3 linked regions of the Nothobranchius furzeri genome follow. The protein of the gene in region 1 purifies or fractionates together with the protein of each later gene. This does not show direct contact. Links are inferred from orthologs where the notes say so. Each region holds a gene or a part of one and is shown in the gene's direction. Other genes may lie near its edges.

Region 1 (6,776 bases):
GAGGCTTACTGAGGACTGGAACAGACTGGACCATGACTGCAGGGGTGGGGGCCATGATGCCCATGTGGACAGGGATCATAGGAGCTGCAGCACATGCAACAAAAAAAAGTTGTTAAGACTGTGAATATGAAATTAATTAAATTATTACAAATAATGAGCATCTAAGAGGTGTCATGTTGCGTAATTTACGGGAGCCTGGTTGGTACTTACCTGTGGGGAAGCCAGCATACTGAGGAGGAATCCCAGGTGGGGGCAACAGCGGTCGATTTAAATGAGGAGGGAAGGACATTTTGAGGGTGAATGTGGCCTAAAGAAGACACATTAAAGGCCATTAGTGTTGTTTGCATAAGGTAAAAACGTCCAAACAGCTCAAGTAAAAACACAGAGGGAGCGAACATTAGTGTATCCACAATGAGGAAACACTGAAGGTCTCGGTGGTGAACATTACAAATCGATAGTGACTTTTATTTGACTTTGCTGGAACGTTAACTAAACTTAGCCAAACTTTGTGAGGTGCCATTCGCTAATTAGAAGTAACAAAGTCCAAACTTCTTAAAAATATTAACATCTCAACAATATTAAGACTAACCACACACAACAGCTAAGTACGCTAAAGCTAGCAATGAGCACGTTACCCGATATAACACCGGCACAGCTAAAATGCTAAAGTAACCTAGCCCGAGCAGATGTTAATTTATAATAAAACACTGACTTTCCCAAGGCTAAACATGAGCTCGAAGTAAATATAAAAGCCTCTACATATACCTACCACTCAACCAGGTGGCGTATGATGAGATAAAATCCACTAAAAATGTTAATGATAGTGAATTAATAGCTAACGTTCTGGACGCCTGATTAGCACGCTAGCTGGTCGCGGGCCCTCGAAAAGTTTGACGCACGCGCTTTAGGAGCAAGAGTACTGGCGCGCTTGTTTTGTGCACCAGAGTGTATACACTGAACGGGGCTTAATGTGAATTCGCAAAATGAACCCTTTTCAGGAAACGAAACTTCTGCTAACAGGGTTCGATCAGATTACCTAACTAACCTTGGAAGACCTAATGCGCGGTAGTAACTAAATGAATAAAAAAGGTTGAATAATAATAGCATTGAAATTAAGTTACACCAAAAAAGCGGTCCGCATTTTTTTTATTAAAACGATTTGTTTCTAATCGGTTTAATTTACAAAACATCTGATCACATAAAAAAACAGCATTGTGATTTTCCTACTCGTTTTAATCAATTAGAGGATAAAGCCATCATATGATTATTTCAATGTTAAACTTCTTTTTAAATGTTTTTTAAAAGAGTACATAAAAATTCTGTGTACATTATTGTTAAAATGGTCATTCTTACCAATTCTGAAATTGTAACTAATAAATAACATATTCTGTATGCAAAGTATGACTGTACTTCTGTTATTTATCACTGAGGTTACTATCTAAATTTATAAATGTGTCTTCTGTAGTTAAACTACATAATAGAAAGCTGAATCATAATCATTTGTGCATCTCTTGCATTTGATGGGTCTAACTGCGTACATTTATTCCACTCTAATCCACTTGACAACAGTGACTTCTTCCCCTTACACTGTACTAAAAACTCAATTCCAAAGTCGTGATCAACATGACAAATATAGTATTACATTTATGTATAGCAGTCCATCTTCCACTGGTGTTCTATGTCCATAAGAAAATCTGTAATTCATATAATAACAACCATTAGTTCATTTGACAATATAAAGCATATATTCTCATGATTCAGTACGGAAAAGGGTTGAGTTGATGGTTGTTAAGGCGTTTTTGCTGTAGGAACATTTTGTGACAGATGATACGTCGGGAGAGGAAAGGGGGAGATCTGTGACGTCACTTTAAGGCGGGGCTTTCATGGAAAGTGCTAGAAGCAGGCTAGAAGAAACGAAGCACACCTTCTCGTGTTTGAAATATTCATCCGTCGGAGTAAAAAGACCCACAGTCTATGTCGAATTTCAGGGAAACTAGACGCCACTTGAGATTTGAACTTGACGCGTGGTTTTAGTGTTATGCGAATCATTTCTCTATGTTGTCGCTAGATGGGATGATTGAGATCAAAAAACATCGCCTCTCAGTGCATGGTTTGCTGTAGCTCAACCTACCACAAGATGGCGACAACGTTACACTAAGGTCCGACTTCGTATACATTTTCTTTACTTAGATTGCATAATTGGCATTTAAACCCTTTTTACCCAACAAAACGTGAATAATAGATTATTCTTTTCCAGTGAGGAAGCATACAATGTGTGTTTAGTTCTGGCTGCGGTTTTACATAAAAGTGATTGCTTCAGGTTGTAGCTCGTGAACTGCGGATGGATACGACTGCACACTGCGACCCACGTGTATAAAGACTGGTCTGGTGCCGAAAAGTAGTTCCTTTCCTTTTTCTTCAGTCAGGGAGCGCAAGGGACTACACTTTTGCTGCATTTTATTCAAGAAAAAGTCAACGAAATTACCAAGGTGCGTACATTAACGGGTCCGTAGCTCGTGTCAGACATCCTTACCTTTATAAGTTTGTTAAAATATCATCGGTATGTATGTGTTTAACGAACATTATTAGTTAATGAAAATCCAGAGGTTAATATGGTGGTCGAATAAGTGTTTCGTGGAAGACAGACGCCTAGTACGTCGGCTGATGTTTTCATTTTCCTCTCGAGAGACTACTATTTGCTTATGTTTCCGAGCATCGTAGTGATGCTCTTGAGCAGCGGGAATGCGGCACCGTGATGTCAGGCAGGTGTGGTGACGGTGACTCCGCTGGATCGAGTTCTCGGCCTGATTAAATCCGTTATAAACCCACGTTAAACCGGTACACTGAGTTTAATGTGTGCGTAATAAGGCCTGGTTACCAGCCACGAGGGGTAGTGTTCATTTGGTCGTTACGTAATTGAACGCGGTTTCAATTAACCTCCACGTTTTACTGAAACTATCACATGGAGGCTAAAACAAGTACGTTTGTAGTATTTATGGAAGTCGTCGTCGCATTGTTTATCTATTAAAGTGACTTGAGTTGATCCGCCTTAATCGTTCGCCAGCACGTGTTTGCTGCGTCCATTGTCTAGTAGAAGCCATGTTTGTTAACTGACACTTCCGCCCTTATGTAGCAGACTGCTGCAGCGGCCATCCAACTTAATGAAGCCACTTGACGAAATCGCGTTACTTTGAAACTATCTTAAGTTCTGTTTCACTTTCATTTACTGAAGTGACTTTGTTATATTTTCAGATGCCTGAAGAAATGCACCAAGAGGAGGAGGTTGAGACCTTTGCCTTCCAGGCAGAGATCGCTCAGCTGATGTCCCTGATCATCAACACCTTCTACTCCAACAAAGAGATCTTCCTTAGGGAGTTGATCTCAAACGCTTCTGATGTGAGTCTGCTGAAGCTTCAGTATTCTTCTGACTTTAAGGAAGAAACTAACCGCTATTCCCTGTTTTCAGGCTCTGGACAAAATCCGCTATGAAAGCTTGACTGACCCCTCAAAACTGGACACTGGCAAAGATCTGAAAATTGACATCATTCCCAACAAAGCTGACCGGACTTTGACCCTGATTGACACCGGGATTGGCATGACCAAAGCTGACCTTATTAACAACCTGGGCACCATCGCCAAGTCGGGCACAAAGGCCTTCATGGAGGCCCTCCAGGTACTACGCATCCCATAATGGCCTGCACAGGATCTTAAGAGACTGACTGATCTTGTGAAGCTAAATTTGTTTTATTCCTCCAGGCTGGTGCTGACATCTCAATGATTGGTCAGTTCGGTGTGGGTTTTTACTCTGCTTATCTTGTTGCTGAGAAAGTGGTCGTCATCACCAAACACAATGATGATGAGCAGTACGCCTGGGAGTCATCTGCTGGAGGTTCCTTCACAGTCAAGGTTGACAGCGGTGTGTAATTCTAACCATCACCAGTGACGTCTGAGTGTGCACTACTTGCTTACTCTAGTTTATTTTAGCTTTTCTGAAAATTCCTCAAATGTTTTCAGGCGAGCCCATTGGCCGTGGAACTAAGATCATTCTGCACCTGAAGGAGGACCAGACAGAGTATGTGGAGGACAAGAGGGTCAAGGAGATCGTTAAGAAGCACTCTCAATTCATTGGCTACCCCATCACCTTGTTTGTAAGTGCTTAAAAGTACGTTTTAAAAATTTTAAGTCTTGGGCAGATTTCTAAAGCTTTTATGTCGCAGGTGGAGAAGGAGCGCGACAAGGAGATTAGTGACGACGAGGCAGAGGAGGAAAAGACCGAGAAAGAGGAGAAAGAAGAAGAAGCTGAAGACAAGCCCAAGATTGAAGATGTGGGTTCAGATGATGAGGAGGATTCCAAAGACAAGGACAAGAAGAAGAAGAAAAAGATCAAGGAGAAGTACATTGATCAGGAGGAGCTGAACAAGACCAAGCCCATCTGGACCAGGAACCCCGATGACATCACAAATGAAGAATATGGTGAATTCTACAAGAGTCTAACAAATGACTGGGAGGATCACCTGGCTGTCAAGGTACACGAGTTTCCGACAAAGTTTTAACCCTGCGGGCTGATTTTTTTTCTAATGCTTTATTTTCTTTCAGCACTTCTCTGTGGAAGGCCAGCTGGAGTTCAGAGCCCTGCTCTTTATTCCTCGCCGTGCACCCTTTGACCTCTTCGAGAACAAGAAAAAGAAGAACAACATCAAGCTGTACGTCAGGCGGGTCTTCATCATGGACAACTGTGAGGAGCTCATTCCTGAGTATCTGAGTAAGTTCAGCTGCATTTTCCACTGTGGTCTGAAATGATTCCACAGACTCTTTAAATGGCTAATGCATTTAAAATTACTTTGTCCACTCAAGACTTCATCCGTGGTGTTGTGGACTCTGAGGACCTGCCCCTCAACATCTCCAGAGAAATGCTGCAGCAAAGCAAGATCCTGAAGGTTATTCGCAAAAACATAGTCAAGAAGTGCTTGGAGCTGTTTGCAGAACTGTCGGAGGACAAAGACAACTACAAGAAATTCTACGAGGCTTTCTCAAAGAACATGAAGGTATTGAAACTAAATGGTGGATTCATCTGAATTGGCTTGGTGTGTTTTATAAACTGAGGGACGCATTGCTGTATTTTGCATTTAAAGATCATGTTTGGTTGCTTTTTTCCTCAGCTGGGCATACATGAGGACTCTCAGAACCGCAAGAAGCTGTCTGAGCTTTTGCGCTACCACAGCTCCCAGTCTGGTGATGAGATGACCTCCTTGACTGAGTACCTCACCCGCATGAAGGAAAACCAGAAGTCGATCTACTACATTACTGGTACTAACACACACTATCTGGAAACCACACCTCCCCGTAGACTTGTTCATCCTTGCTGAGGATCTGGTTTCTCTGCAGGTGAGAGCAAAGATCAGGTGGCCAACTCCGCCTTCGTCGAGCGTGTCCGCAAACGTGGCTTTGAGGTGCTGTACATGACAGAGCCCATTGATGAGTACTGCGTCCAGCAGCTGAAGGAGTTCGATGGCAAGACCCTGGTCTCTGTCACCAAGGAGGGTCTAGAGCTGCCTGAAGATGAGGATGAGAAGAAAAAGATGGAGGAGGACAAAGCCAAATATGAGAACCTCTGCAAGCTCATGAAGGAGATCCTCGACAAAAAAGTGGAGAAGGTGTGTGTTTTGGGTTTCCTTTCCCTGTAGGCTTAAGTTTTCATGAAGGGTTTCCTTGTGGTCCAACATGGTGTAAACCTTTGTGCTTAATTTCCTCCAGGTGACTGTGTCCAACAGGCTGGTGTCTTCCCCTTGCTGCATTGTGACAAGCACGTATGGCTGGACGGCAAACATGGAGAGGATCATGAAGGCCCAGGCACTCAGGGACAACTCCACCATGGGTTACATGATGGCCAAGAAGCACTTGGAAATCAACCCTGACCATCCAATCATGGAGACTCTGAGGCAGAAGGCTGAGGCTGACAAGAACGACAAAGCAGTGAAAGACCTTGTTGTCCTGCTCTTTGAGACGGCCCTGCTTTCTTCAGGCTTCTCTCTCGATGATCCACAGACTCATTCCAACCGTATCTACAGGATGATCAAACTTGGCCTTGGTAGGAACTCATCAGATTAGCTGTTGGTGGGTTTTTATTTCTCTCCTTTCTAATGTGTGCTTATGGGGTTTTTTTTTTTTTTTTTTTTTTTTTTTTTTTTTAGGTATTGATGATGATGACATTCCAACAGAAGAGACCACCACCACCACATCTGTTCCAGAAGAGATGCCACCTCTTGAAGGTGATGAAGATGCTTCACGAATGGAAGAGGTTGATTAAACGGACTTTACCACACTTCAAAACACTTAAAACCCTGTTTTACCAGTAGTTTATTCCCTAAAAGTGCAGTAACTGTAAATTAAATCATTCCTGTGGTGTGGAGGACCAGAGTTGCTGTTACTGGAACCTTACACTGCTATTCCTTCGAAAAACTTTTATTTTGCTGTGAAATTACAAAAGTGATTTTTTTTTTTTGTTTTGTTTTTTTTAGTACTGTTGCTCCGACTTAAATGTTTGTGGTAAATGTTCAGATGTTGGTCTATAGTCTGACGTTCAAAGGGTTTGCTAAAATCAGTTCATGTGCAATGCTGCATGGAGGGAGAGGACTGTTTGGTTCTTTTTGCCTGAGTTCAGGCCTGCCTGTGCGACAAGTCTTGTTTTGCAGAAAATAAAAAGCTGTAATACCTTGTTTTTGTTTATCTGGATCCTTTAGTTTCCACTCTTGGGACTTTGTTTTTTCTAGACATTA
Region 2 (6,564 bases), on another chromosome or scaffold:
TCTTCAACTGCCTCAGGAAGTGCATCCTCTGCTGGGCCTTTTTTCTGATGTTGGTGATGGTGGGTTCCCATTTGAGGTCCTGGGTGATGGTGGTGCCCAGGAAGCGACATGAGTCCACCATCGTGATGGGAGTGTCAGACAGGTTTAAGGGGGGGATGGGGTGTGTGTGTTTCCTAAAGTCCACAACAACCTCCGCTGTCTTCTGGGTGTTTAGCACCAGGTTGTTGTGGCTGCACCAGTACACCAGCCGTTCAGCCTCCATTCTGTAAGCGGACTCATCCCCATTAGAGATGAGTCCGATGACGGTGGTGTCGTCAGCAAACTTAATTAGTTTGACAGACTCATGCTTGGAGGTGCAGCTGTTGGTGTACAGGGAGAAGAGCAGAGGGGAAAGAACACAGCCCTGTGGTGAGCCGGTGCTGATGGTCCGTTGGTCCGAGACATTCTTCCCCAGCCTGACTTGTTGTTTCCTGTCTGTCAGGAAGTCAGTGATCCACATGCAGATGGGGTCAGGCACGTTCATCTGGGACATTTTGTCTTGGAGGAGGTCTGGCAGGATTGTGTTGAGTGCAGAGCTGAAGTCCACGAACAATATCCTGGCGTAGGTACCTGGGGAGTCCAGATGCTGCAGGATGAATTGTAGAGCCATGTTGATTGCATCATCTACAGACCTGTTTGGTCTGTATGCAAACTGCAGGGGGTCCAGGAGGGGGGCTGTGAGGGTCTTGAGGTGGGGGAGAACTAGGTGCTCAAATCAAATCAATTTCCCTCTGGGATTAATAAAGTATTTTTGAATTGAATTGAAATGACTTCATGACCACAGATGCAGTCCTTTAGTCCAGTGATTCTTGGTTTCTTGGGGACAGGGACTATGGTGGAGATCTTGAAGCAGGCAGGCACATGAGATTCCTCCAGTAAGGAGTTGAAGATGCTCGTAAACACTGGGGCCAGCTCTTCAGCACAGTGCTTTAGAGTGGCAGGAGCCACGCCATCAGGGCCCGGGGCTTTTCGTGTGTTAAGAGACCTGAACTGCTTCTTTACATCTGCTTCATGAACGAGTAGATTTGTGGTGGAGGTGTGTGATGTGAACACCTCGTGAGTGGGGGGGGGGGGGGGGGGGGGTGATGAAGGTGCTGGTGATGGCTCTGTAACGGGGAGTGGCTGACCAATGAGCTCAGCCAGAAACCAAAGCTCTTATAAGCCATTCTTAATCCCATTCATCACTCATGGTCATGAGCTTTGGGTAATGACCAAAAGACCAAGACCATGAATGCAAGCAACTGAAATGACTTTCATCTGTAGGGTGGCTGATCTCAGCCTTGAGATATGATGCCGAGCTCAGACAACTGAGTAGAGCCACGGCTCCTCCACAGAGAGGAACGAGCTGAGGTGGTCTGGGCATTTCATCAGAATGCCTCCTACAACGTCACAGGCGAGGAATTCCAGGAATGTGATACTGACAGAAGGTTCCCAGGTTAACTAAGTAAATTGTAATTTCTCATCCCTTGTCCGTTTTATCATTTTGGTGTATTTTGCAGTGTATCTGTAAAGTGCTTTGGTCAGCTGTCATGCTGTTTTTAAATGTGCTATGGAAATAAAGCTAGTATGGTATGGATTAGGGATGCGCCAATACCGTTATCGATACCAGGAATCAATGCCAATGCAGTTGCCTGAAAGTGGCTTCACTGTAACTTGTCATTTCTGTTCACCTAATATTTTAGTTTTGTGATCATTTCCATTAATATATTTTATTTTTTAATCTACCTCACACACTTTTCCTGTTGAAAGAAAAGAAAATAAAACCTGTATTCCAATTCATTGCATTTTATTGTGTGGTAGAAGTATCGGTGTAGGCGAGTACTCAGATCCAAGAATCGGTATCGTATCTGTTTGGGAAAAAGTATTGGTGCAACCCTAGTAAGGATCCCACCAGTGGAAATAGCTGGACAGAGGATAATTTGGACCTCTCTTCAATCCCAGCGACCCAAATCTAACTAAGAATAAACTATTTATAAACACTGACCTAAACTATAGTGCTCAGATGCTGATCTTGATTCCTTCACCCTTGAATTTCCTCACGGGACACCACTAACTTTAGAATTTAAAAACACACCTAAACATACTTAAACCATTAAGCTGTTATAATAAATCTGCAAACATGCTAGGTTTCGAACCCAAACACAGTCACAGAACACTCACCCCTTCCCTCGGGTATCTTCCCTGAGACGCAACCTGCGATACCATACCACTTTAATTATAGAGCGCTTTTAACACGGCATTACAACCGACCAAAAGCTGCACATGTTAATGCCGCACGAAACGAGACATGGCCAAACACCAGTAACCGTTTTCTAGGTCCAAACAGCTTTTGTCTGTGACATAAAATGGAGGGTTTTTTTTAGGCTCTGGCAGTTTGTCCAAAAGTTGAAGTGGTAGCAGCCGGCCGTTTCTCCTCCTCTGATACTACTGAGCCGCGAACCTCTCACACCAGCGGTGTTCTGTTGCCAAATATGCGAGTGCGTAACGAATAGAGGCCCCATGGTCGTGCAGGAGTTCAGCGGTTTGGAGACCAACAACTGATGGTTCAATAGTTGCTTCTGGTCCTAAATGTGTTATTTGCTGAGGTTTTTAGACAAATGTGAAAGAACCACTTTATTTATTTATTTCATCTCCACAGTTTCTTTATTTCTTTAACATATCAGAACTTGTTAAGAGGCATGAAAAAAGGTTTTAGACACATTTGTTTGTTTGTTTTAATGTAACTTTAAGTCTGGTGAAACCACATTTACAGTTTCCCCACTCTTCCTTTGATGATGTGTAACAAAGTTAAATGTTGGAAACGTTTAAAGTAAAGATGACTGCTTCTTGGAAGCTGAAACAGGTATTTTACATCAGCAGAGGCTTTAGAGGAGATGATGCGCTAAAGTTTGCGTTGCTGCTTTAGGCTGTAGCCCCGCCCCCTGAGCAAAAGGAAGACAGGCGGAAAAAAAAGTGCGACGAGAGGCCGAAATCAAACCGACTGACTTGGTTTCCCCACATCACAAGCACCCGTGGGCAAAGAGTCTGGGTCTGGACCCGGCCCTGTCCACCTCTGACCCGGTTCTGAACGAGTTAGAGACGTGGCAGGAGAAGAAGCATGCCTCGCTGAAGTGATCTCACCTGCCGCTGAAACACGGAGAGGAGAAACGGGCGAGGTAGGTTCGTGTTTCTGGACTCTCGGATACAGGAAACTACAGCTGGGTCGTGTTGGTCACCTTAACTCTGGACATCTGGAGTTTGGGCTGGACAGATGCGTTAAATAAAAGTTGCAGTCGGTGGTTTGTCCTCCGCCAGCGGCCGTAGTTGTCAGCTATCCCTCCGCCACGTTGGGGCACATGTCTGAGGAGGAGAAACTAGCCGTCGGCCTGCTGTTGCTCCACTTTTCTTTTAGTTTAATCAACAAAGAAGAGTCGTGGAGTAGCACCACGTGTCTGTCCTGGCCTGGACCGGCCTGCTGACTCTGCCCACGGGCCTGCTTCTCCGTGGGTCGGTCTGATAGATCCGTAAAAATGAATGGAGGTCAGCTTCTGTTGATCATTTAATTACTGATTTGCTGTTATCGGTATGCTGCCAGTTCAATTAAACTCCCAGCTGGGCTGAAGCTGGTCAGATGTTATTGAAAGAAGGGGAAACATAAATGTTTAAATTAAAGGTGCAACATGGAAGAAGGAAGTAGGAATGACATCCTATGGTCAAAATTGGTTACTGCAGCCCATTTTCAAGACACACTGGTCTGGTATGGCGTCGTCACATCTGGCCTGTAGAGCCCTGCACGGGCCTAAAATCTGAGCCCGTGTCCGGCCCGTGGAGCCCCAGCCCGACCCGGTCCGAAAAGGTTTTCAGGATTCTCTGGCCTGAGCCCAATTTTGTTTTTTAACCTTTCATAATGTTTTAGCGTGATAGAATGCTCAGCATTCTAATTATCTGTGAGAAGCATTCTGCAGTAAAAAAAATAAATAAATAAAAAGAAAAGAACAAAAAAACAGCATTCAATGCAGCTTTTTTTTCTAACAGAGCGTATTTTTTGAGCGGCAGATGAAATTTACGAACACTATATTAATTGGATGCGTTTGTAAATTTAATCTGCTCTGAAAATGCGCCCTTGTGCAATTAGAAAAAAAAGCAGCATTCTAATTTTCTAACTGCAGAGCGCATTTTCAGAGCGGCAGATTAAATAAACACCCCCAATTAATATAGTGTTTGTAAATTTAATCTGCCGCTCTGAAAATGCGCTCGCCAGTTAGAAAAAACAACAACAATGAATGCTGTATTTTTTTAACTGCAGAGCGAATTTATTCACAGAAAAATAGAATGCTGTCATTTTCTTGAGAATAAACAAATGGTTTCTGACATATCAAAGTGGACATAAAATGGCATATTAGAATAGGGGCACATGTTTCAGTCAGCCGTTTATATAGGCGCATTAATAAACCACACAGACCTTAACTGAGCTAACGGTGCCGGTGCGTGAGAAGCAGGCAGGTGCTGCTGCATTCAAGTGTTTCAATTTTTTTTATGAATTTGATTAAAAATAAAGGCGCCTGGCCCGGCCCGTGTCCGAGGTAATTACGCAGTCGTTGGCCCGAAGCCCGGCCCTCGGGCCGTCGGACCGGGCCGACCTGAGGGCCTAGGGCTTCATTGCAGGGCTCTACTGGCCTGGTCCGGTCTCGGTAGAGTCGGCCCACCCCTGCATGGCCAGTTTTTGTTCACATAGCCTTCTCAGAGCGAATGCCTCAGAGCACGTGGGCCAGGTGGGTGTTTTACTCACGTTGGTAAGCAAAAGTAGCCGTGAGCAGTGATATGAAGCACACCGTTTCCTACTCTCACGCCGATACTGCTGCGTGCTCCTCACAGCAGTCTGTCTGACCAGCAGTCAGAGATGTTTACAAATATGGGAAGCCTCTGCTGGCTAATTCTACCAACCAATCAGAGGCTCCCTCTATAGGTAGGTGTGAACTTCAGCTGGCCAATCAGTCGTATTTGGTGTGTTGGCTCAGTTTTCCATGAAATAGACTACTGGGGAGAAGCTCCAAAAAAAAAAAGCTGAGCATGGAAAACGACTACCCAGATGTGCCTATCAAGATGTGAAAGCCCAATTGCTCAGGGTCAGAGTTCACCCTAACCCATTCTCCTGCCAGAGAAAGAATGCTGCTGTTGTGTATTTACTTAAACCACCTCTCCTGCTGGTGGTGGTTGGAGGAACTGGTGGCGCCTAGACTCAGCAGCCCCTCCTGTCAGTAGCTACGTTGATTTTACAGACGTTGCGCTACAATTTCAGGTGTTGGCGCTCTTTTGCTCCGCCCACATGCTTATAGATGCGCTCATGACATCACAGGCCCCAGACCGCCTATGTTCTCAATCACATCTATATTCTCAAGGCAGTGTGGGACGAACACAGCCAGGCTGGGGTGGGCGGAGTGGAGTGGAGCTGATGCTAGTGTGTAAGTGGCACAAGTCCAACAGGTGGCAGCCCACCACACTGAAGTTGCAAGTGCGGTATTGACCCTGTGCACGTGACGTCACGCCACTCATGTGACCGCCCCCTTCACCATGATGGACGGCAAAAAGACCGTTTACACCCGTAGAAACTCCAGTGAAGCTAGTCAAAACAAGCCAGTTTGTAGCCTTTTATAGCTTTTATTTAGTTGATTCGACAGTAAAATGGTTTTAGCTTGCTGCGTGGTCGGCTGCACTAACAGACAAGGATGTAAAGTCAACTTGTTTTGTTTTTTTATTAACTTTGATGGAGACTGAGGACGGAGATGAACTGCAGCGATCAATCAAGCGGACTAGCAGGTCTCAGATTTGCAGCGAACATGTTTTTACCGGGTAAGATTAACGTTCATTTATTTGACGAGGAAGACGGGGACAGGGGTAAATGTGATGTGTTTATACAAGTTATTGATAATCCTGATGGACGGGTATTTCACCACGGAGGCTGCGCTCCGTCCACTGTAGTGTAAAGCGAGACGATTATTAACAATATTAAAGCTCCGATGTATGATTACGTGTGTTAAAATTACGTTATTTATTTATATGAGCGTCGGCGTTCAGAGATCTTCTCATTCCGGTGTGAAAGCAGCAGCTGAACCCGGTAACACCACCAGCAACAGAAGCTGGTAGGGATCCGGACTTTTTAAAAATCAGCTTTGGTGTAAAGTGAAACGCTGTTTATAACATAATTTTATAAATCCAGAGGGGTGAATTTAGGCAAAGTCAGCAACATGTTTACATCGGTGAACAGCTGCAGAGAGAACGTAAGCTAACGTTGGTAAGCTTGTTAACACACCGCTCTCTATGAGCCCCCGCTAGATGCGCTACTTCTTCTGATAACTGAACTGGGCCTGAACTAGTTGAAGGAATGCTGGAGGAGTTTTGTTTTTGTTTTGATCGCTAAAACAATTTCAGGCTCTACTTTTCCCTTTGTTTTGTAATCGTGTCGCTCACTGTTTACATGCTTTTGCCGTCCACGTGATTAGGTGGCGTCGGTGCAAAGGGTCAATTCTTGCCAGAGGGGGCAGTGGG
Region 3 (6,781 bases), on another chromosome or scaffold:
TGTCCAACCAGATTCCGGAACAAGATGGCGCATGCCGGCTTCACCATCGCTGGCTCAGCTCACCCCATCTGTCCCGTGATGCTCGGCGACGCCCGGCTGGCCTCCACGATGGCCGACGATATGCTGAAGCTCGGTGAGACTCCACTTCCCAACAAACTGCATCAGGATCAGGTTCACATTCCCATGACCGCCTCAGTCTGATGGTTCGTTTATCCTGTTCACAGGAATCTACGTGATTGGATTCTCCTACCCAGTGGTGCCAAAGGGCAAAGCCCGAATCCGCGTTCAGATTTCGGCCGCGCACACCGACGAAGACATCGACCGATGTGTGGACGCTTTCATTCAGACGGGAAGAAAACATGGAGTCATCTCCTAAAAGAAGTTTAATTCAACCGCAGCGCCTGTTACTCCACACGGATGATGTAGAAGGAAACATTCGTTACATTTGAGCATTTTTTAAATAAGTGCTGTTGATAAATGTTTGTATTTGGGGTTTAAAAGAGGGCTAATAATGAATAGCCTACACTACGTCTTAGCACGAGAAAGCTTTTCTCTTTTATCCACAAATGTGATTTTTAAAGATTGCTATATTAAAAAGTTTAGTGGTGCTGGAACTAATGTTGTATGATGAGAACTTGTGGAAAACATTAAAGGTGCATTATGGAAGTTTGACAGTCAAAACATGTATAGAAATAATAAATGTCTTCTTCATACATTCTCCTGCAATGCCCTGGTCCTGTAGAATGAGCCCTGGCATTTTTACTGTGATTGCCTGTTTTTCTGTAAAATCACAGAAAAAGAGAGATGCTCGGGTCGAGCAGGCTGCTTCATTCACGCTCAGGCATCGCCCGTAGCGTTTGCTATCAGTAGCTTTAGCAGCAGAGAGAGAGACAGTGCCACTTTGTCGCTGTTCCTAACGCCTAGTGACAAAGCTAGCTACATTTCTGAGGACCCTTAGCTACTTTCTGTAGAACTTTCTTCTAGATATTTCCTGCAAATTAGCAACAAAATAGCCATTTTCGCTCCGAACCGTTCTTTGAACGTTGTTTCAGCTGTCATCAAGGATATAAATGTTACAGATACTGTGAATGTTACTAGAGTGTAGCTCACCTTGTGAGACGACGGACTCGCATGCAGAACACCTGTGTTCGATTCTAGGTGTGAACATAGTTTATTTAGAGTTTATTTTTTACATTAATGGTATATTTTTTTACAGTAAGATGCCCAAATTTTTATTGGAGACTCGCCGAACGGCATTGAATTCACAGATAAAAAAGATGTGGGTTCAACTTTCATTTTGGAACAATTTTTCAAGTAAGGGAAGGGAATGATCTGAGCATGCAGGAGGACTGACCCATCATAAACCTTTGTCGGCTGTGCTGAAGAGAAAGGTACAGAACCAAATTATTTAATGAATTAGCTGCACGTTCTCTTGTCCTCTGTCCTCCAGGCCACCCACACACACACACACACACACACACACACAAGGGACTGTCTCAGCTGTTGTTTTCGTTAAGGAGTGTGCACGTACAGCATGCGCTCCTCGTGCACGAGCCTACTATTGAAGCTGCTGTTACGCTTTTGGCCTGAGGGGGCAATCGCGAGCATAAAACTTCAAAAGTCCGTAAAGTATTAAATTAAGAAGAAAACTCGAGGCTGTGTTTGTCTTACTGAGATTTATAATTAAGAAGAAACAAAGGTCTGTGATGGACTGGGGACATGTCCAGGGTCCTTTCCTCTCACCCAATGCCTGCAGCTGGAGATGGGCACCAGCTCCATGTCGTCCTAGTGAGGATTAAGTGGATGGATGATTGTGCACAAGTGACTTAGAGCTTGTCCCAAGTGCACAAACCAAAATACAACATGGCAGCACCTGCACACAGGAGTCACTTGATGGGAATAATGTGTCTAGTTTCAATGCAAGTTCATGAAAATACCAAACAGGATCATACCTGCGGTGGTGGAGGGTTGATGGTTTGGGCTTCTTGCACTCATTGAGTCTACTCATCTTTTTTTAATGGTTGAAAAGTGAGTTTATGTCTCTGATGTTTAACCCTCTCAGGCTCAAAATAAGTTTTGATAAAAGGACGAACAACTAAGTCCTTCAGGGGTACTTCTGAGTTCAAAAGTGCTCATGAAATACTTATGTGGAGTAACCAGGTAGGTAGGCTTTAACTGTTGCAGACGCCTGCCTCCAGAGGGTTAAGGGAGTTGTTCTAGTAGGAACAAATGTCTTGTAAGTTGTTCTCGGGGGTGAAAAATATACCGATGCACTATTTATCTGACCTAAAAGTTGCCCACGTTACAGCTGAGCTATTTGGACATCTCGCCCCAGATTGGATGACAGCAACGCGACTCTACCATTGACTTGCAACAATGTTTTATCCACTAATAACACAAGTCTTGAGGAGCTTCTGCTGTGTGGTGCTGCTGCTAATGCTAATGGTTAGCTACATTCTCTGCGGTTTCCTGGACGTTAAACAACAGCCTCCCCCGTCGTGAGTCAAGATGGGTGAGTCCATGAATGTTAGTGACAGGGTGACGTAGATCTGTCAGGATTTTCTAATCCCAGAGTTTCACCGTCTGTTTTCTATCAGAAGCTAAAGCAGCCGGAGATTGGTGTAGGAGATTATTCTCGTGTTCAGCCTGCGAGAAACACGAGTGGCTGATTGATCATAAGTAGAAATAAAAATAAAAGAAGGCTTTTTCAGTGTTGCACTCTTTTAACGCGTTGGAGTAAAGTTGATCATGAAAAGGGACCAAATCCCAAACACAGCTGATCTACAACAGAATGGTGTCCAGAGTCCAGACCCACAAACCAGAATGATGGGAAGTCTCAAACTCTTCCAAAGCCGTGTGAGCCTGAAGCACCCAGACTGGAGTTTTGCATGAAAAAGGTTGAAATATGTTTCTAATAAATGTTAAAGTCTGATCTTTGAAGACAAAACAGCTGAAACGTTTGCGAAAACGAGCTAGATGTTCTCATGGCTCCTCTGCATGTTGAGCTGGGCAGCACGACGCTCCCGCCCCTCCCCCTTTGTGTTTTTCGCGCCACAACAGCGCTAAGCTCCACCTTCCCCCGTAACGTCACGCCTTTTGGAACCCTCTGTGACCAATAGAAAGAAGCCGGATTTAATTCAGCCAATCAGAGAACAGAAGAGGCGTGTAGCGAAACAAGCGGCTCGCGGGAAACAGACAGGAAGCAGATCGTTTTTTCCCGCGAAAGGACTTCGCTCTGGCGCATTGTTCCTGTTAGTGCCGCTCTCTGGGATCGCTCTGTCTGAGAATAAAGTCGTGTCCCAGCTCCGAGTTTTAGTTTAGTGAGCTGCAGCAGGATGTCTGGCTTCGACATTCCCGGAGTTTATTACAGCGACAGCTTCGGAGGAGGAGACGCGCCCGGCGGGGACGACGGCGGGCAGAAGCGGGCTCAGATCAAGAAGCGGTTCCGAGAGTTCCTCCGGCAGTTCCGGGTGGGAACGGACCGCACCGGCTTCACCTACAAATACAGGTGAGCAACACAGACGGCCACAGCCACCAAAGAACTGGTTTTAATAAGGAGGTAAATGTTCGAAGTGAAACGACACAAAATGTTAAAATAAAAGAAGTCTTTATCCGGAAGGTACCTACCAAAATAAGAGCTGGGTGAGGAGATCTAAGGTTTCAGGGTGAAATGAGGCTTTTTTGTGAGTGTGTTCCGCCATCTTTAAGGGAGAGCTACCGCGACCCCCCCTCCCCGTGCCACGCCACACACACACACACACACACACACACACACACACACAAGAATGGGCTCTCTTCACCCTGCTTTTATTTTGGTAGTCTGTCCGGATTGTAACATCTGTCCGTCCTTCCCATCAGAGATGAGCTGAAGAGACACTACACCCTGGGAGAGTTCTGGGTGGAGGTGGAGATGGAGGACCTGGCCAGCTTTGATGAAGACTTGTCTGACTGCCTTTACAAGGTTCCTGCGGAGAACCTGCCCTTGGTGAGTCTTCTGCTGGAGCCAGACCCAACTGTCAGGCGAACCTTTCCAGCGACATCCTCTAACAGATTTTCATTTAACAGCTGGAGGAAGCTGCCAAGGAGGTGGCGGATGAAGTGACCCGTCCTCGACCTGTAGGAGAGGAGGAGGTGCAGGACATCCAGGTCATGCTCAAGAGCGACGCCCACCATGCTTACATTCGCACCCTGAAGGTACCTGCTGACCCGTGTTGTTTAAGAGCCTTGTAGTCGTCGCGCAGGACTGGATTACACTACTTTTCTTCTCGTACAGTCGGAGCAGGTGTCTCGTCTGGTGAAGGTGCACGGGATCATCATCTCAGCCACGGCGGTGAAAGCAAAGGCCACCAAGGTGTGCCTCCAGTGTCGCGGCTGCAGGAACACCATCAAAAACATCGCGCTGCCGCCGGGCCTGCAGGGTTATGCTCTGCCCCGCAAGTGCACCAGGTGGGCGTAACCCAGAGGAGCCGCGCTTTCCCCCGGGCTTTCGGCCATCAGCGAGGAAGCTAACGCACCCCTTTTGTTCTCAGTGACGCTCCTGGGAGAGCAAAGTGCCCCGTGGACCCGTACTTCATCATTCCGGACCGCTGCGTTTGCGTGGACTTCCAGACGCTCCGTCTGCAGGAGTCTCCGGATGCCGTGCCACACGGAGAAATCCCCCGGCACCTGCAGCTGTACTGTGACCGGTAAGGAGGGGCGGCGTGGCGTGGCGTGGGTGTTTGAGCCGGGGCGGTGTGTTCTGCTCACTCAGGTGTCTTCTCTTCTCTCAGGTATATGTGTGACCGCGTGGTGCCTGGCAACAGGGTTACCATCCTGGGGATCTACTCCATCAAAAAGATGGCTGCTGCCAAAGCAAAGGGCAAGGAGAAGGGCATCGGCGTCGGGATCCGCGCGTCCTACTTACGAGTGGTCGGCATCCAGGTGGACACAGAAGGAGCAGGTACCGCTTTACGTCTGCTTCACGAGGCTGGCCTCTAGTCCACCCGGAGAAACGTTCCCCTTCTTCATCCCGTCCAGGTCGTGGTGCCACCGGGTCCGTGTCTCCTCAGGAGGAGGAGGAGCTGAGAGCTCTTGCTGCTTCTCCGAGCATCTACAACTCTCTGGCTCAGTCTTTAGCTCCCTCCATCTACGGCAGCGACGATCTGAAGAAGGCCATCACCTGTCTGCTGTTCGGAGGCTCGAGGAAGAGGTGAAACCGCCACCTCGCCCCATTCCCCCCCCCCCCCCCTTAGGGAATTTTGTGGATATTTAATCTGCAGAAATGTTTCTTATCTGACTTTAATAGGTAACCTTTTTGATTTTCTTCCTCCAGGCTGCCCGACGGTCTCACTCGCAGAGGCGACATCAACCTTCTGATGCTCGGAGATCCCGGTACGGCCAAGTCTCAGCTGCTGAAGTTTGTGGAGAGGTGCTCGCCTATCGGGGTAAGAGAAGCTTTCCCGGAGCTGCTGCTCTGACGCCAGCATGAGGAGAAGCTCAGCGGTGTGTCTGTGACCTTCAGGTCTACACCTCCGGGAAGGGCAGCAGCGCAGCCGGCCTGACCGCCTCGGTGCTTCGAGACCCTAGCACTCGTGGGTTCATCATGGAGGGAGGGGCCATGGTGCTGGCCGACGGAGGAGTCGTGTGCATCGATGAGTTCGATAAGGTAGGACCGACGCCCGAGCGTCAGCGTTAGACCCGGTTCGGAGTCTAAATCTGAGCGGTTTCTGTTTCTCAGATGAGGGAGGATGACCGCGTGGCTATCCACGAAGCCATGGAGCAGCAGACCATCTCCATCGCTAAGGTACGTACAGCTGATGCGCCATCTTGGATGTGAGACGGTTGCCGTGGTATCCTGACGTCCTCGCTTCCTCCAGGCGGGCATCACCACCACCCTGAACTCCCGCTGCTCCGTGCTGGCCGCCGCCAACTCCGTGTTTGGTCGCTGGGACGACACGAAGGGGGAGGACAACATTGACTTCATGCCCACCATCTTGTCTCGTTTCGACATGATCTTCATCATCAAGGACCAGCACGACCAGCAGAGGGACATGGTGAGGAGGCTGGAGCCTCGAACGCGTCGGCGCCCCCTTCCTCCGGAGTGTAACCTCACCGTCTGCTTGTTCCCCAGACGCTGGCTCGCCACGTGATGAACGTCCACCTGAGTGCTCAGACGCAGACCGAAGGTGTGGAGGGCGAGGTTCCTCTGGCTACGTTTAAGAAATACATCGCCTACGCCAGAGCGTGAGTCGGCCTCGGGCGTTTGGTCTGTCGTCCACAGTCGCGAGTCCGTTCTCAGACTGAGTGTGTGCTTGCAGGAAGTGTGGCCCTCGGCTTTCCGCGGCTGCCGCTGAGAAGCTGAAGAACAGATACGTGGTGATGAGGAGCGGCGCGCGGGAGCACGAACGCGAGAGCCACAAGCGGCCCTCCATCCCCATCACCGTCAGGTACCGGCGGCGCCTGCGTCCGAGCGAGTCGTCGCACCCGGGAGAGGGTTGTCACGAGTGTCTTGTGTCTTCAGGCAGCTGGAGGCGGTCGTTCGTATCGCCGAGTCGTTGGCTAAGATGAAGCTGCAGGCCGTGGCTGGAGAAGAGGAGGTGGACGAGGCCCTCAGGCTCTTCCAGGTCTCCACGCTGGACGCCGCTCTGTCGGGCAGCCTCTCAGGTGTGTGACGGCCACGTTTCAGAGCGGGGCTCGCCTGTCCCGTTTCCTGACGCTAACGCCCCTCTGTTCTCAGGAGTGGAGGGCTTCACCTCTCAGGAGGACCAGGAAATGCTCTCCCGCGTCGAGAAGCAGCTGAAGA

Evidence for each region. The genes of interacting proteins can lie anywhere in the genome.
Region 2: the proteins of hsp90ab1 (region 1) and cdk4 purify together in Homo sapiens (affinity purification with mass spectrometry; 5 studies listed by BioGRID and IntAct, counting the BioPlex papers as one, with this or other methods). This does not show direct contact. The link is inferred for Nothobranchius furzeri from reciprocal best matches to the Homo sapiens genes HSP90AB1 and CDK4.
Region 3: the proteins of hsp90ab1 (region 1) and mcm5 fractionate together in Homo sapiens (co-fractionation; 3 studies listed by BioGRID, with this or other methods). This does not show direct contact. The link is inferred for Nothobranchius furzeri from reciprocal best matches to the Homo sapiens genes HSP90AB1 and MCM5.

Annotation. Positions count from the first base shown.
Region 1 is NC_091742.1:8,414,098-8,420,873, reverse strand, and holds hsp90ab1 (heat shock protein HSP 90-beta), read left to right. Parts: upstream 1-2,348; 5' UTR 2,349-2,489; intron 2,490-3,252; coding exon 3,253-3,396; intron 3,397-3,466; coding exon 3,467-3,673; intron 3,674-3,756; coding exon 3,757-3,916; intron 3,917-4,014; coding exon 4,015-4,148; intron 4,149-4,217; coding exon 4,218-4,526; intron 4,527-4,596; coding exon 4,597-4,762; intron 4,763-4,854; coding exon 4,855-5,045; intron 5,046-5,159; coding exon 5,160-5,307; intron 5,308-5,385; coding exon 5,386-5,654; intron 5,655-5,754; coding exon 5,755-6,088; intron 6,089-6,191; coding exon 6,192-6,307; 3' UTR 6,308-6,598; downstream 6,599-6,776. Other genes in the region: rbm25b (RNA-binding protein 25b), read right to left, coding at 1-84, 211-289. UniProt on the Homo sapiens protein: Molecular chaperone that promotes the maturation, structural maintenance and proper regulation of specific target proteins involved for instance in cell cycle control and signal transduction. Undergoes a functional cycle linked to its ATPase activity.
Region 2 is NC_091743.1:49,228,601-49,235,164, forward strand, and holds the start of cdk4 (cyclin-dependent kinase 4), read left to right. Parts: upstream 1-2,983; 5' UTR 2,984-3,194; intron 3,195-6,564.
Region 3 is NC_091752.1:68,039,719-68,046,499, forward strand, and holds the start of mcm5 (DNA replication licensing factor MCM5), read left to right. Parts: upstream 1-3,200; 5' UTR 3,201-3,335; coding exon 3,336-3,508; intron 3,509-3,858; coding exon 3,859-3,985; intron 3,986-4,065; coding exon 4,066-4,194; intron 4,195-4,273; coding exon 4,274-4,446; intron 4,447-4,529; coding exon 4,530-4,685; intron 4,686-4,769; coding exon 4,770-4,939; intron 4,940-5,016; coding exon 5,017-5,188; intron 5,189-5,311; coding exon 5,312-5,423; intron 5,424-5,500; coding exon 5,501-5,644; intron 5,645-5,716; coding exon 5,717-5,782; intron 5,783-5,855; coding exon 5,856-6,032; intron 6,033-6,109; coding exon 6,110-6,222; intron 6,223-6,296; coding exon 6,297-6,425; intron 6,426-6,499; coding exon 6,500-6,642; intron 6,643-6,715; coding exon 6,716-6,781. Other genes in the region: gcat (2-amino-3-ketobutyrate coenzyme A ligase, mitochondrial), read left to right, coding at 12-133, 225-376. UniProt on the Homo sapiens protein: Acts as a component of the MCM2-7 complex (MCM complex) which is the replicative helicase essential for 'once per cell cycle' DNA replication initiation and elongation in eukaryotic cells.